2 linked regions of the Arabidopsis thaliana genome follow. The protein of the gene in region 1 interacts with the protein of each later gene in a biochemical or structural test. Each region holds a gene or a part of one and is shown on either strand. Other genes may lie near its edges.

Evidence for each region.
Region 2: the proteins of CLA1 (region 1) and J20 form a complex in vitro, tested with the Arabidopsis thaliana proteins (one study listed by BioGRID).

The regions. Positions count from the first base shown.
Region 1 is NC_003075.7:8,880,859-8,889,402, reverse strand, and holds CLA1 (Deoxyxylulose-5-phosphate synthase), read right to left. Parts: upstream 5,579-8,544; 5' UTR 5,186-5,578; coding exon 5,036-5,185; intron 4,753-5,035; coding exon 4,627-4,752; intron 4,544-4,626; coding exon 4,228-4,543; intron 4,122-4,227; coding exon 3,850-4,121; intron 3,763-3,849; coding exon 3,489-3,762; intron 3,412-3,488; coding exon 3,104-3,411; intron 3,022-3,103; coding exon 2,740-3,021; intron 2,662-2,739; coding exon 2,377-2,661; intron 2,290-2,376; coding exon 2,149-2,289; 3' UTR 1,736-2,148; downstream 1-1,735. Other genes in the region: AT4G15562 (superoxide dismutase 1 copper chaperone-like protein), read left to right, coding at 404-447, 528-607, 728-957.
Region 2 is NC_003075.7:8,007,878-8,014,625, reverse strand, and holds J20 (DNAJ-like 20), read right to left. Parts: upstream 3,660-6,748; 5' UTR 3,109-3,659; coding exon 2,656-3,108; coding exon of another isoform or gene 2,641-2,655; exon of another isoform or gene 2,394-2,640; coding exon of another isoform or gene 2,295-2,393; exon of another isoform or gene 2,190-2,294; coding exon 2,049-2,189; 3' UTR 1,746-2,048; downstream 1-1,745. Other genes in the region: AT4G13840 (HXXXD-type acyl-transferase family protein), read left to right, coding at 1-538; AT4G13820 (Leucine-rich repeat (LRR) family protein), read left to right, coding at 3,932-6,091. UniProt on the Arabidopsis thaliana protein: Plays a continuous role in plant development probably in the structural organization of compartments.

The DNA of each region.
Region 1 (8,544 bases):
ATTCAAAATTGAATTAGGAATATTTGAGGTATAATTGCAAAGATATATTCAAATTTAATTTATTAAGAAAACAATGGTTATAAAATAATTACAAAATCAGATGTTATTGAATATTAATAAGATAAGTTTCCTTATGCACAACAAAATGTGTATACAAGGCTTATAAAATATAAACCTATACAAATCATATATGGTATAAATCAATAATTGTATAATCTATTATGTATTTCTTTTTTTCACTGTTTCAAAAAAATATTGTCTGTCTTGTGTATATGTTAAAAATATATTATAAGTTTTCTATGTATGAGTAATTTGTTTGAATGTATGAGTATATAAAGTGTTATAGGCTGTTCATAAATTGGTCCATCTTATTTTATTTCTTTGATAGCTCAAATTTTAAAAGATGGGTTGTTCCATTTCGCTTAACCAACCAGATACTCCTAAGGAGTAAGTGTAATATATATTTTTACACATGTTAATGAAATTCTCTTAGTAACTCACTAGCTTTTCTTCTATATGTGATCTAGTTTTTCGCATGTCGAATTCAAGATGCCGGAGTGTAGCATATGCGAGAGAGCTATGACTCATACTATATCCAAATTCAAAGGTAGAATAATATCTATAATCATAGTTTAAATGTATATAATTGATAGTAATATGAAGGGATATATATATATATATATATATATGTGCATGCATGTTGTAATTTGTTTTGTATGATTATTAGGAGTTACATTATGTGTGCCGGATAAAGAGAACCAAAAGATTAAGGTCTCTGGAAGTTTTAATAAGGAGAAGTTGTTGAAAAAAATCATGAAAGTTATTAAAGAATTGGAGATTCATGATGGGAAAAATGAAGAGAAAGATGAATTAATTCGGAAGAAACAAGAAGAAACTGAAATGGCGAAAATTATGATGTTGAATGATGAAAATGCCAACAGATGTACTATTTCGTAAAGTGTAGTTTGTTAAATGGTGATCGTTTTACAGGTTTTTAGCATTAAGTTTCATATCATTTTAAATTCAAATCATTTCTTTGGAGGTGGAGAGATTCTAGAAAGAAAAAAAAAAAAAAAAAAAGGATTGCATGAACTAATATCTTCACATTTCTCCCCATTTTGTAGTTTGCAAAATTATTATGTGTTCACTTTGTTTTTTAGTTGTGTGTTTTAAACTATTCACATATTTTTAATAAACTAATTTTCTCATCCATTCTAACTTTAATCTATAGATTAAATTGATCAATTTATTTAAGATTTACATTATAGTATATTTAATTGGTGAAGATAAATTTATATATAAAATTGATTACATTCATCTTTATGAACCAAAAAAAATAAATCCTAAAATCATCTTTTTAGTGAAAGAGGAAGTATATTAGATATAAACATAATTAAGATACTATATCTTTTCTTTTCATTTTTTTATTCAATTTAATTATGATTACACTATTTTATATTTATTAGGTATAGATAAATTCCCAAGTAAAGTATACTTAATAAGTAAAACTGAATACATTCATCTTTATGAAAGCAAACTATAATCATAATCATCTTATTTAGTGAGAGTAATTATTAGATAAGATTATAAGAACATAATGAAGATACTCTATTATTGTCTAATATTTTCTTAACAAGAGAACTCTCTTCTGTAGATAGAGTCTTTCAATGCCTTTAGGCTCTTTGGGGATATTTTGAAAAAAAAAATACTTGTATCCAATCTTGTAAAACCGGATTGGAATGTAAACCGGAAAGTGGTTCGGGTCACTGCATTGGTACGTTCGATCGTCAGTCAATGAGGCCATATATATAGGTCCAGGTTTAAAAACACTGCTCGTACCAAAATATGTCACACAAAGCTATGAAAGATACACAAAGAGATGTAATTGATTTTTACAAGATGTTAGATTATTGTACAACACGATCTCCATCACAATCCTAAACAAAATTACAAAACAAATACCAGTTTTATCATAATACTAATCTTTGCACAACCTTTGCCTTTGCCTTTCTCTTCACAATCTTAGTAAATATATATAGCTGTTGCCAAAGGACTTCTCGGCGGGAATTCTGATCAGTACTTAGAAGAAACCTTGGGTTGCATTTAGAGTGTTTGTATACATATGTTTTAGCCAACAGATTCTTACTCTCAAAACAGAGCTTCCCTTGGTGCACCGATTAAGTTAAGTGCGGTTGCTGCGATGTGAGATGGCATGAGTCCAGCTTCAGCTAGTTGATCAGCTGGTGCACCGTGATCAATGTATCGATCAGGCAGTACCATTGGTCTCCACTGTATATTCAAACAGTTGCAAATTAGAAACAGTATTTTTTGAAAAGACAGAAAAATATTAGAGAGTTTCTGGAAGTAATAAGTAACCTTGAGTTTGCCATCAAGAAGACCATCGAGAGCAAGAAACTGAACAACGTGCGAGCCAAAACCTCCAATGGAACCTTCTTCAACCGTGATCAGAACCTCGTGCGACTTAGCTAAGCTGCGAATGAGAGCACGGTCCAATGGCTTGCAAAACCGTGCATCCGCTACAGTTACGTTTAATCCGCGTTCTTCGAGCATTACAGCCGCTCCTAAACAGCTCTGAACTGCTGAGCCATAACCCAACAACGCAACTCTCTCTCCTTCCTTTAAAATTCTACCTTTCCCAATCTGAAATACACCCAAAGAGATTTTCTATCTCAAAATGATGAAGGAAGAGAGACATATTTGAGAGGACCAAAGTTATACCTCAATTGGAACACCTTTGTTTCCGGGAGGTAATGCAACTCCAATACCGTTACCTCTAGGGTAACGGAAACAAGAAGGACGATCATCAATCGCAACAGCAGTTGCAACCATGTTAAAGAGATCTGCTTCATCTGATGGAGCCATCACTATCATGTTAGGAAGACAAGCCATAAATGTCACATCGAAAGCTCCACAATGTGTCGGACCATCAGCTCCAACGAGTCCAGCTCTATCCATTGCAAATCTCACCGGTAATTTTTGCAAATCAACATCATGGACAACCTACAGAGAAGGCCACCATATACTCTATTAGTTTCTTAAAATGTTTTATTACAAAGTAAAATGATTAAGATGTTGAACTTGCCTGGTCATAAGCACGCTGCATGAAAGACGAATAGATTGCACAGAAGGGTTTAAGGCCTTCACAGGCTAAACCCGCAGCAAAAGTAACTGCGTGTTGTTCCGCTATTCCTACATCGAAACATCTTGTTGGGAAGCGACGTTGAAAGAGATTTAACCCGGTTCCACCTCCCATGGCTGCATGAATCGCAACCACATCTTTGTCTACCTCTGCTTCTGCGACTAATGCCTCCGCAAAGTAAGTTGTGTAAGATTGAGTCTTATTAGTAGTTTTGAACTGTCTACCCGTTGCTGGATCAAATTTCACAACACCTGAAAGAAAAATAATCAATATATATATCCCACTGCTTAGGAACTAGAGAAAACGTTATCTATCTAACTTGTTTTACCATGGTATTTGTCATCAGCTCTCTCCGCGTAAGGATAACCACGACCTTTCTCCGTCACCACATGAATAAGTACAGGTCCTGTGGTTCTGGTACTCTTAACTTCTTTAAGAATGGCTACCAAATCATCTATGTTGTGCCCATCAACTGGACCAATATAGTAAAGACCGAGTTCTTCAAACAGTGACGATCCAGTCCCGCTTATCATTCCTCGAGCATACTCATCTACCTTAGCCGCCAACTGATGCATTGGTCCGCCTATTTGCTTTGTCATACCCTATACGCAAGAAAAGCCAAAATTCTCATCAAGTCCATAAAGACCAGTATTCTTTACCATTCTAGAAAAGAAATGCAATAAACTTGCCTTTGCGACTTCTCTCAACTCTCTGAGAGCCGGGTTAGACTGTAACCGACTAAGAGCACTGCTCAATGCACCAACAGGTGGACTTGGTCCATCCAAAGTAGCTGTAGGTAATGAGACTTGCTTGTTGTCATTAAGAATCACAATCATATCAGAGTCTAGATATCCGGCGTTGTTCATGGCTTCATAAGCCTGTCCTGCCGTCATCGCACCATCACCAATCACAGCAACCACATTGTTGTTCTTCCCCTTCAAATCCCTTCCTACCGCCATTCCTGTAAAACTCATATATCTGATTCAGTTCTGTTTTCTTATTACAGTTTACTGTCTAAACACAACAACACAAGGCAAACACACCAAAGGAATGATTGATTGTATTACCTAAACCAGCAGATATTGTGGTTGAGCTGTGTCCAGTACCAAAGCAATCATGTTCACTCTCTCCTCGTTTGGTGAAACCAGAGAGACCATTGGTTTGCCTCATTGTAGGCATCTTTCCTCTTCTCCCAGTAAGAATCTTATGAGGATAAGACTGATGACCAACATCCCAAAGAATCTTGTCTTGTGGAGTATTGAAAATGTAATGAAGAGCCACAGTAAGCTCCACAACACCAAGACTTGACCCCAAATGTCCACCGGTTTTCGACACATTAAAGATCACGTCTGATCTCAGCTCATCAGAAAGTTGTTTCAGTTCCTGCAATAAGTTGTTACCAAATGCCACCAATCCATCAATTTGTAAGAAAGCTAAAACAAATGCATCAAAGCTAGAATCTTTACCTTGACAGAAAGATTTTTCATGTGGATTGGGTAGTTAATAGTGTCAAGTAATGGAGTTGGTGGTCTGTTTGAATAATATTCACCCTTCTCTGCAAGTGAAGCACACACTTTTGCTCTTCTGTTTGACTGTACCACAACACAAAACCCAAATCGCAAAAGCTGTCATTTTCTCTAATCAGTTCCCAGAAATCAGAACCAAAGAAGCAATATTATTGGTCTAATTTCACTATATTTTCCACAGATTTCCAATAAAGTAACTAAGAAAAGGAGTCAAATTTGTTTGACTTTTGTCAAAAACAAAGTAAACCCATTATTTAATTCAAGATTTCAGCAAATGGGCAAGCTACAAAATCTCATAGTTCTTAAATCAAGTTCCATGATGAAGCAGAGAAGAGAGAAGTGAACTTACATGGGAATTGTTGTTGGGTTTCAGACATGGTGATGGAAGATCTGTAACCAAAGATCTAGAAGAAGACAAAGAAGTTGATTTACAAGAATCAGTTGAAAGTCCTCCTTTGGTTATTATGTAAGAAGGAAAAGCAAATGCAGAAGAAGCCATTGGAGGTACTTTTTGAAGCTCAAGAAAGTTGAAAACTTTAGGAATGTAAGTAAAACATATAAGGATTTATAGAGAATAAAATTTAGGCAAATTTTGAGGTTATCAAAAACAGTAAAACAAATGAATAAAACGCACTTTCGAATCCCACTACAAGTGAAAGTGTGTGTTTAAATGTGGTGGTGACAATGGTGGTGGTGGAGAGTTGAAGAAGTATAAAGATGGAGACTTTAAAAAAATGGGGTGATGAAGTAAAACGACAAGAAAGCCAACTTCATGGATCACGAATTTTATGTAACCGTGCTGATGATATTAAAAAAAAAAAAGAGAGAGAAAAAAAGAGATGGTGAGATGGTTCGTCATCCGCAGAGAACTTGAGATTTTGGTTGGGCCACGTCAACCATGAAATCCAAGTTTTGGATAGATATTGATGATATTATTTATATACGTTAGTACATGTGTATATTGTTTGTTCCTTATTTCATTTATAAAGTTCTTTAAAAAGAAAATGAAAGAAAAGAAAATAAATAAATATATTCACGCATACATACCAAAGACGATAAAGGCAATATAATCTTTTGTGGTATAAAGAAATGGAATTTAAAATGATTATAGAAGAATTGTAATTTGATTTTTTTTTAATAAAAAAATTAACAAGTTTAGCAGGTACTGACAAAGAAAAAAATCTTTACAGTTTTTGATAAAATTGGAAACGTATATTTGTATACAGAAAAAAATCCTACTTTATATATTTCTATATATATATATAATTTCACACTATTATCTTCAATGATATTCCTCTGTTTCTACAAGAATAATTTTTAGATGTTTTACAAGAAAAATTTTTAAAAATAGCTTTTACAGTTTGTTATTTTTATTAATTTAATAATATTAATTTTACTTTTTTCTTTGTTTTTGTCAACAATTTTCTCCTCTTTCTATCGGTAACAAATGAAAGTAAATAATAATGTTGATATAAACATCAAACTATTAGAAACAAAAGGAGTATTTAATATAACCAAGATAGTGCGGTAGTGTCGTAACTCGTAAGTGTATGATTTGGGTTAGTAACTTAGTATTATCGATCTTATTACATTAATAAAGTTTAATATCATATTAAACAACTACATAGATTAAATTTTATGATATTATCACATTATTAAATGAGCGAGAATCACGTTACAAATCCGACAAAACATATAATATTTGACATTCTTGATTATTGGGTTTCAATTGAGTCAAATATGAATAAACAAAACTTACATGAAAGTTTAAGTTTAAGTGTTTAACTAACGACAGTTCCATCACAAAAAGAAAAATTGTAATCACGCGGTTCATTTTATAATATATCAAAACTTATTAAGAAAACAAGCATGTTAAATTGATATGTTAAATTTTTAAATATTGCATTTTCAAAATGATATGTTATTTTTAACTAATTTTTAATGGTGGTTTTTCGATTTTCAATTAGTTTGAATATAACAGTTGGATAAAATTTTGTCGAAACTGCTTGAAATGCAAGATGACAATATTATCAGCTTGTCAGAAATACGTATATGCCAAATTTTCATCATAACGTTTTTTGGAAACTCTCAGATTCAAAGATATTTCTTGAATCTTCTGACAGACAAACTATTGTTTGATCATAATAAACCGACAAAACAATTAATGTATATGCACGTATACATCATAAATATACAAATACGTATTCTCTACCAAAACATTGTAATAGAAAATCGCCTAAAATGTACGAGGCATTCAAATTACTATGTTATTGTTGAAAGCATACCATATTGACGACTTAGTGAATATGACTAAGTAAACTAGATCAATAAACACAAAACCTAGTTCTCAAACTTGATTTTTTCATAAAAAAGTTGTCTTATCAATAGATTGAGAGGTTTTCAAAAAGTTCAAAATATCAAAACGAATAGAGAAGATCTCGAGAGATTGGATAGTTGTGCGAATGCACTCTGATAAACCATTCTAACAACATACAATCAAACATGTTACTAACAACATTTAGGAGGAAACAGGTTCATTGATCACTCGAATGTCACCTCTTTATCATTTCCTTGTATTATCAGTGATCAACTTCACTTTTTGGAGAGGTTCAACCCTATTCCAAAAGGTAACTGTTTTCCCTTCATCTCACCATGTATATCATCATCTACTTCATATGACTTCTCTACTGATTCTAGAACACTACCATAAAAAAACATTCTCATTAACCTACCATTATATCCGTTCACATTGACATCTTCCAACACAACAAATTTGTATCTTCACAATGGAAAGAATAATGAAAATTACGAGTAGAAGTTGTGTTCTGGAAAGAGGTTCGGCTCAAATATTGGCAAGACCCGGTGCTAGAGCGGACCCAAAAAAATTAAGGGTTATTGGAAAAAAAATATTGGCCTATGATTATTATTAAAGAAGTGTGGTTTCTAATTATAGAAATGTTACTTTTAAGAAACTTGGATATTTCCATATTTATTTTTTAAACCAAATTTAGAATTTTAAGGTATATTTCTTGATTAGTGGTTCTGTTTTTTTAGATAACTAAGAATATTTTTAATTTTTTAAATATAAGTAGTTTTTTTTTTTTTTTTCAACACAACTTTGCTTTATTAACTTGTACCAGAATAATCAGCATGTTGTGCTTCTGCTATACAACGAGGGATGTAAAAATGAGAAACATATAATCATAATTAGTAGCTATTTGTTTTTCAAAAAAGTAGAACTTTTTGTATGAATTAAATAAAGATTTTTTTTTGGACCATATCGTCTAGCACTCCTAACACATGTGTTAAGTCGGGCCTGTAGGACCTATGGAGCTCAATTGATCACAAATTTCTCTAAACTCACGAAGATAATTAGGCAAGAATTCATTTTATCTCGAATCATTTGCAATTTACATCAAAGTTCAAGATAAAGAAACTAATTATTTTGTAAAGATATCATGTATACTCATGTGTGTGTTGATAGTGATGACTGAACTTTCCGAAAAAACGTGAGAAATTACTGTCTTTCTCAAAGGTTCTACTTTTTATTTTGTAAACCTTGAACCTTTTTGTCTAGAACTCACAAGACTCTTATAACATGAATGTCTTTAGTTTCTTATAATTTGTTATCAAGCTTTCTGTCTAAGACAGAAAATCTTATTGTGTTCTAACTTTGTGTAAACATATCTGTATATTTGTGTTAGAATGAGATTAAAAAGGAAATAATGGAACCATAATTATATATGAACCCAAATTCACTTGTTTTATCGAACTAATTAATAAAATGTTGCTATCACAGTTTATTTGCAAGCATGTTTTGAAATGTTTAACTCATAACATTTTTTTAGGGCCGACTGT
Region 2 (6,748 bases), 870 kb from region 1:
GGCGAAGGGAGATGACTCGATTCCGGTGTTCGAGATTCTCGCCGGAATCATATGGAAATGCATAGCTAAAGTTAGGGTAGAGCCAAAGCCTGTAACGGTTACGATCATTAAAAAAGATCCGAACGATCTGAAACTTAATGCGATTCGAAACAGTCAGGTGATCAGCTCAGTGAGCGTGGATTTTCCGGTGGCGGAAGCGACGGTGGAGGAATTAGTGAAAGCTATGGGGGAAGCGAAGGATGAGAGATGTGGAATTGAGGAGATCGGAGAGAGTTGCGATGGGAATTTGGATTTTGTTGTTTATGGAGCGAAATTGACGTTTCTGGATCTGACTGGTGAGGATTTGTATGAGGCGAAAGTGATGGGGAAGTCGCCGGAGTCGGTTTATTGTAATGTGGAGGGGATAGGGGAGGAGGGATTGGTGGTTGTTTACGCGGCGGCGAAATCGGAGGAGAGGGTTGTGACGGTTACGTTGCCGGAGGAAGAGATGGAGAGGGTAAAATTGGAATTTAAGAAGTTTGGTTTGATCGCGCCATGAGAAATCAAACGGCAAATAATAAGTGTAAACGTGAAGTGATGAAGTGTTATGTTATCGTTTTAAAACAAGTAAAGTTTCGCAAAAAAAAAAAAAAAAAGTAAAGTTTCCGTTGGTTTTATGTATGTTTATGTTTTTGTTGGATTGTAATTTGTAACGTTGTTGTAAAATTAAATAACTGATATAAGTATTTGTTTTCGTATCTGTCATGGTGGTTTGATTGGTGTCAGTTTGAGTAAAACCATTTAGGGAGGTACCATGAAGAAGTGTGGTTGGAGAAAGTGATTAGAAGAAGTGTGGTTGAAAGCAATCACTTTTAGAATTTGATTGGTTACATAAATTAAGGTTATTGAATGTTCAGCTACCTTGTTGGTTATGAGTCCGATGGACGGATGAAATAGATAGTTGGAGTGGCGAACATGTGAGTAGATGACACAAGACGGTTATGAAACGTATGGAAAAGAGTGCTTGTAACCGTTTACTTTAAAACGGTTGGAGTTATGTAATTTTCATATATTTCAAAATTTTGGCTTACAATGTTTATCTGTTTTGTGTAGTTTGGTTTGGTTATGTTAATTTTATTTATGGTAAAATATTATACTCAATGTTTGGTTTATAACACTATTTTAATCATAACACTATTTTTAACCATAATTTTTCACATTATTCTTATACTCTTCTCCACAAAATCTAGAAAATCTTTATTGATTAAACAAGGTCACAAGTCAAATCCTTAAGCAATTTGTTGGAAGCAATCATCTTTAAAAGTTGATTAGTTACATATATTAAGGCTACCTCGTTGGTTAAGAGTCTGATGGACGGATGAAATAATTAGTTGTAACGGACGGATAAAATAAGTGGTGGTGAATAAAAGAAACATGACGGTTATAAAAATAGAGCATTTACAACCGTTTATTTTAATATGATTAGATTTTTGTTATTTTCATATATTTTAAAATATTTCCTAAAATATAATAAGATCACCATTGAAACCCTTAAAAAGTTTATCAACAATTACCTCTAGTTTAAGGTGATTCATATTTTCATTTTGTTCAATAGTTTTTGCTCATATTCATTACTGTATACCTATTATCATCAGTCACCACATTGCCTACAAATATTACCAATCGTATATAATTTTGAACCGCTATACTGCCATCTCCTGCCGCTTTTAACCACTTTCTCCAGAGCCACTTAAAAAAGCTTTTAACCGCCGTATTTAAACAGAATTATCACTCAATAACCATTACAAACGTTGCTGCCACACCTAGAATCCCGTTCTCCACTCAAAACGTAAAACACAAAACATAAAACGCACAACCAAAGAAAGCTTATTTAGTAATCAGGGTATTTATCTAAAGTAATGTGCTTCCGCCGATTGGCATAAGCACATAGAAGAGTATATACATTACATATATACAAAGTTGCTGGGGTATTGATGCTATGCTTTCTATATTACACACAAACAATTAAAAGACTATACATAACAAGGCTAAAGACTCGATGTCGTATGTTAAGAAGATTCTTGTTGTTGACGACGCATTCTTGCAGCCCAAGACATCGTGTTATTATCTTTCTGATTGCTTCTTCTCCTTAACCCTGAGAGCTGAGTTTGCCATTTTGCTTTCCACTCACTCTTCTCTTCCACCACTTCCTACAATCACAACAATCACCAAAACCCAAATCAATTATAAGAAGACCCATGATTGTAGCAAATAGGATCAATGAGTTCATTATTCTCTATTCCACTGCTAATTTGTCACCTAATAATCGACACATGGGTCAATTTATTGGACCATGTTAAAGATAAGGTCAATTCTGTCGACACCATAAAGGTTCTTGAATCTACCGAGTAAATCTAGAAATTCGAAAAATAAAAAGAATAAAAATAGAATTTTTGAGGATAATACTACACACTATTTGTCCACATATGAACCAAAAATATCCAAATCAATAACATCAACATCACTTGATAAATTTATCAATAACACATACACTAAAATTATTGCTAACTCTTAAATTTTCTTAACCATAATAAACCCAAACAAATGGTGCTGATTTTTTCTCTCCTAACAAAAACTTCGGTTATCGCAAAAAAATTAAATTTAATAATTAATTACCTGATCGTAACGGTTCTGGCGTCGACCGGAGAAAGAAAAAGAAAACCCCATAGACAAATCACGGTCATATAAAACTCTCCGGCGAGGATCGGAGAGAGTTTCGTAAGCTTCTTGAACACGAATAAACCGATCTGTGTATTCTTCGACACGATCCGGAGGAGAAACATCGGGGTGATATTTTCGAGCTAGTTGTTTATAAGCTTGTTTGATTTCTGGGAGTGTGACTGATTCGGTGACGCCGAGAAGATCGTAGAAGGATAAGTCTTCCGATTGTTTTACTGGATCGTCGTGGGTTAATCGAGATTGGATCCGGGTGGAGGAGAATCGGGTTCGGGTTGGGTAAGAGATAGTTGTTGGGATTGAAGTTGGTTGAAGAGAGGAGATTGGTTGTTGTTTGTAGAAGAATGGGTGGTGATTGGTTGAGAGAATTGATGAGCTTTTGTAACATTTCATTGTTTTGAATTTTAGGGTTTGTTTATTTTGGGGATTTGAGTTTTGTGGATTTTAATATGAGAATTGGTAATGTGTAATGTGTAGTTTGGGAATGGGGAGAGAGGGAGGGAGGTAGATGAAACAGTTGAGAGTAATATGTGGATTTTGAAGGGTATTTATGTCATTTTAGTTTAATGGAAAGTTGTCATCGTTTGCGACTGGAAGCTTTTTGACGGCGCAAGAAGATATGATCGACAATCCTTATAGCCCTTATCCCATATTTTGGGCTTCAGCTACCTCCACGAGCCCATTAGAGTTTTTTTTTTAATACAAAAATGTAAACGAAAAGAAGAAAGAAAATGTTGATTGAATTTTAGAAATTTGGCAAAGCCAAAAAAGACTTTTTGAGAGTTTATCGGTAACTTTTACGGTGTGTGACTGACTCTCTCACGAGTCACGAGCGTGCCCCGTTAAAGAGCGTTTGCGCAATTGCGTAGCACTCACCACACAGCTGAGGTAACCCCACACGCTCTACTTTTTGTACTGCGGTAACCCCACACCGCAAGTAATTGAATTATTTTTAGGGTTAATACTTTTATGCAAGAGGAGACATAATTGACTTTGTGGAGCGTTCATTTGGAAATTCATATATCTTTGTGGAAGATGACGCCATTTTTTTTACAAGAGACTTGTTAAGTCAAGCTTTTTCTTTTTTCCACAAAATGTAAGACAGTCTTTGGGTCTATTACTAGAGCCATCACTTATAAACATTGAACATCATTCATTTCACTTTCTGAGAAAAAAAAAATCAAAGAAAAAAAGTTTATTGCATTGTTGAGGTCAGATGAAGATGACAATATGGAGCTTGTGTTTAATCTTGTCCCTTTCTAATTCAAAACTGGTTTTGGCTTCTCATGTTAAGCACTTATGTCGTCAAGACCAGAAGAATGCTCTTTTGGAGTTTAAGAACGAGTTTTATGTCCATGAGTTCAACTCCAATGGGATTGTTGGTGTTAAGAAGACAGAGAAGTGGAGGAACAACACCGATTGCTGTTCTTGGGATGGTATCTCTTGTGATCCTAAAACGGGTAAGGTGGTAGAGTTAGACCTCATGAACAGTTTTCTTAATGGTCCTTTGAGATATGATAGTAGCTTGTTTAGACTACAACATCTTCATAATCTGGATCTTGGCTCGAATAATTTTTCGGGTATTCTACCGGATTCCATAGGCAGCCTCAAATATTTGAGGGTTTTGAGTCTTGGTGATTGTAATCTCTTTGGAAAGATTCCTTCTTCACTTGGAAATCTTACTTATCTCACTAATCTTGATCTTTCTGTTAATGATTTCACCGGGGAGCTACCGGATTCGATGGGACATTTAAACAAGCTAACAGAGTTGCATCTTGGATCGGCCAAGCTCAGTGGGAACTTTCCTAGTATGCTACTCAATTTGAGCGAGCTTACGTTGATCGACCTTGGTTCTAACCAGTTCGGAGGTATGCTCCCATCTAATATGAGTAGCCTCTCTAAATTGGTGTATTTTGGGATTGATAGAAATTCATTTTCCGGATCTATCCCATCGTCTCTCTTCATGCTACCTTCATTGACCTCTCTTGTTTTGGGAAGAAACGACTTCAACGGTCCTCTTGACTTTGGTAATATCTCTTCACCATCTAATCTTGGAGTTTTGTCCCTTCTAGAAAACAATTTCAATGGGCCAATCCCGGAGTCTATATCGAAACTAGTTGGTCTCTTTTATCTTGACCTCTCTTTATGGAACACAAAGAGAGGCATGGTCGATTTCAACACTTTCTTGCATCTCAAGTCACTTACGTTCCTTGACCTCTCTTATATTAATACAAGAAGCATGGTTGACATAAGTATATTCTCACCTCTCTTGTCACTTGGTTATTTGGATCTTTCCGGGATTAATTTGAAGATCAGTTCAACTCTAAGTCTTCCCTCACCCATGGGCACCTTGATTTTATCATCTTGCAATATTCCTGAGTTCCCCAATTTTCTAGAAAACCAAACCACTTTGTATTATTTAGACATCTCTGCCAATAAAATTGGAGGCCAAGTACCACAATGGTTGTGGAGTCTACCGGAGTTGCAGTATGTTAACATTTCTCAAAATTCTTTCAGTGGCTTTGAAGGACCAGCAGATGTTATTCAAAGATGTGGAGAATTACTTATGCTTGACATAAGTTCAAACACATTCCAAGATCCGTTTCCTTTGTTACCAAACTCGACAACGATCTTTTTAGGCTCTGATAATCGGTTTTCGGGAGAGATTCCTAAGACTATATGCAAATTGGTTTCTCTTGATACACTTGTTTTATCCAACAACAACTTCAACGGCTCCATTCCTCGGTGTTTCGAGAAGTTTAATACTACTCTTTCGGTTTTGCATCTTCGGAATAACAACTTATCCGGTGAGTTTCCAGAGGAATCTATCAGTGATCACTTGAGATCACTTGACGTTGGTCGCAACCGGTTATCAGGAGAACTTCCCAAGTCTTTGATCAACTGCACTCGTCTCGAGTTTCTGAACGTGGAAGACAACATAATCAATGACAAGTTTCCATTCTGGTTGAGAATGTTGCCCAAACTTCAGATTTTTGTCCTTCGTTCTAACGAGTTTCATGGTCCAATATCTTCTCTTGGAGATTCTTTGAGCTTCCCCAAGCTGCGAATCTTTGACATTTCGGAAAACCGCTTCAATGGAGTCCTTCGATCAGATTTCTTTGCGGGTTGGAGTGCAATGTCATCAGCCGTAGACATCGTAGATATTATGCCGAGTAGGTATGCTGGACGTGACTCAGGAAACTATTATAACTCAGTGACTATGACGGTCAAAGGATCGATAATAGAGTTGGTTGGGAGTGTTTTCACGATTTACAAAACCATCGATGTCTCCGGAAACAGATTCGAAGGACGTATTCCCGAGTCAATCGGTTTACTTAAAGAACTGATTGTGCTCAATATGTCAAACAACGGTTGAATTTGACTGATCTCGAATCATTGGATCTTTCTAAAAACAGATTATCCGGTGAAATCCCACCAGAGCTCGGGAAACTCACGTTTCTAGCACAAATGAACTTCTCCTACAACATGCTTGAAGGTCCAATTCCACAAGGCACTCAGATTCAAAGCCAGAATAGTTCTTCATTCGCAGAGAATCTCGGGCTCTGCGGTGTTCCTCTCCAAGAAACTTGCGGGGGAGAAGAAGAAGAAGAAAAAGAAGCAACAAAGCAAGAGCAAGATGAAGAAAAAGATCAAGTATTGAGCTGGATCGCAGCTGCAATAGGCTACGTACCTGGTGTTGTGTGTGGACTCACCATTGGTCACATTCTCACTTCGTATAAACGTGACTGGTTCATGAAAAGCTTTCAGTATTTTGCTTAATAAAAGCATGACCTCTTAGGAGGATGATGCCCCCTTGTTATAATGCGTGTACTCTAATGTTTTGAGTTGTATAATGAGTGTGTGTTTTTTTAACGAGGGAACAAAAGTTTAATTGATTGATTCAGTTGGCGTTTGATAATAATTGTTACTCCAAATGTTCAGGAGAACTAATATCATTCCTTTAGCTGTATTTGTTGTTTTCATTTCTACGTGAATTAGAAGAAATAAGACAGAAGCTTTGTTTAATTTCAGA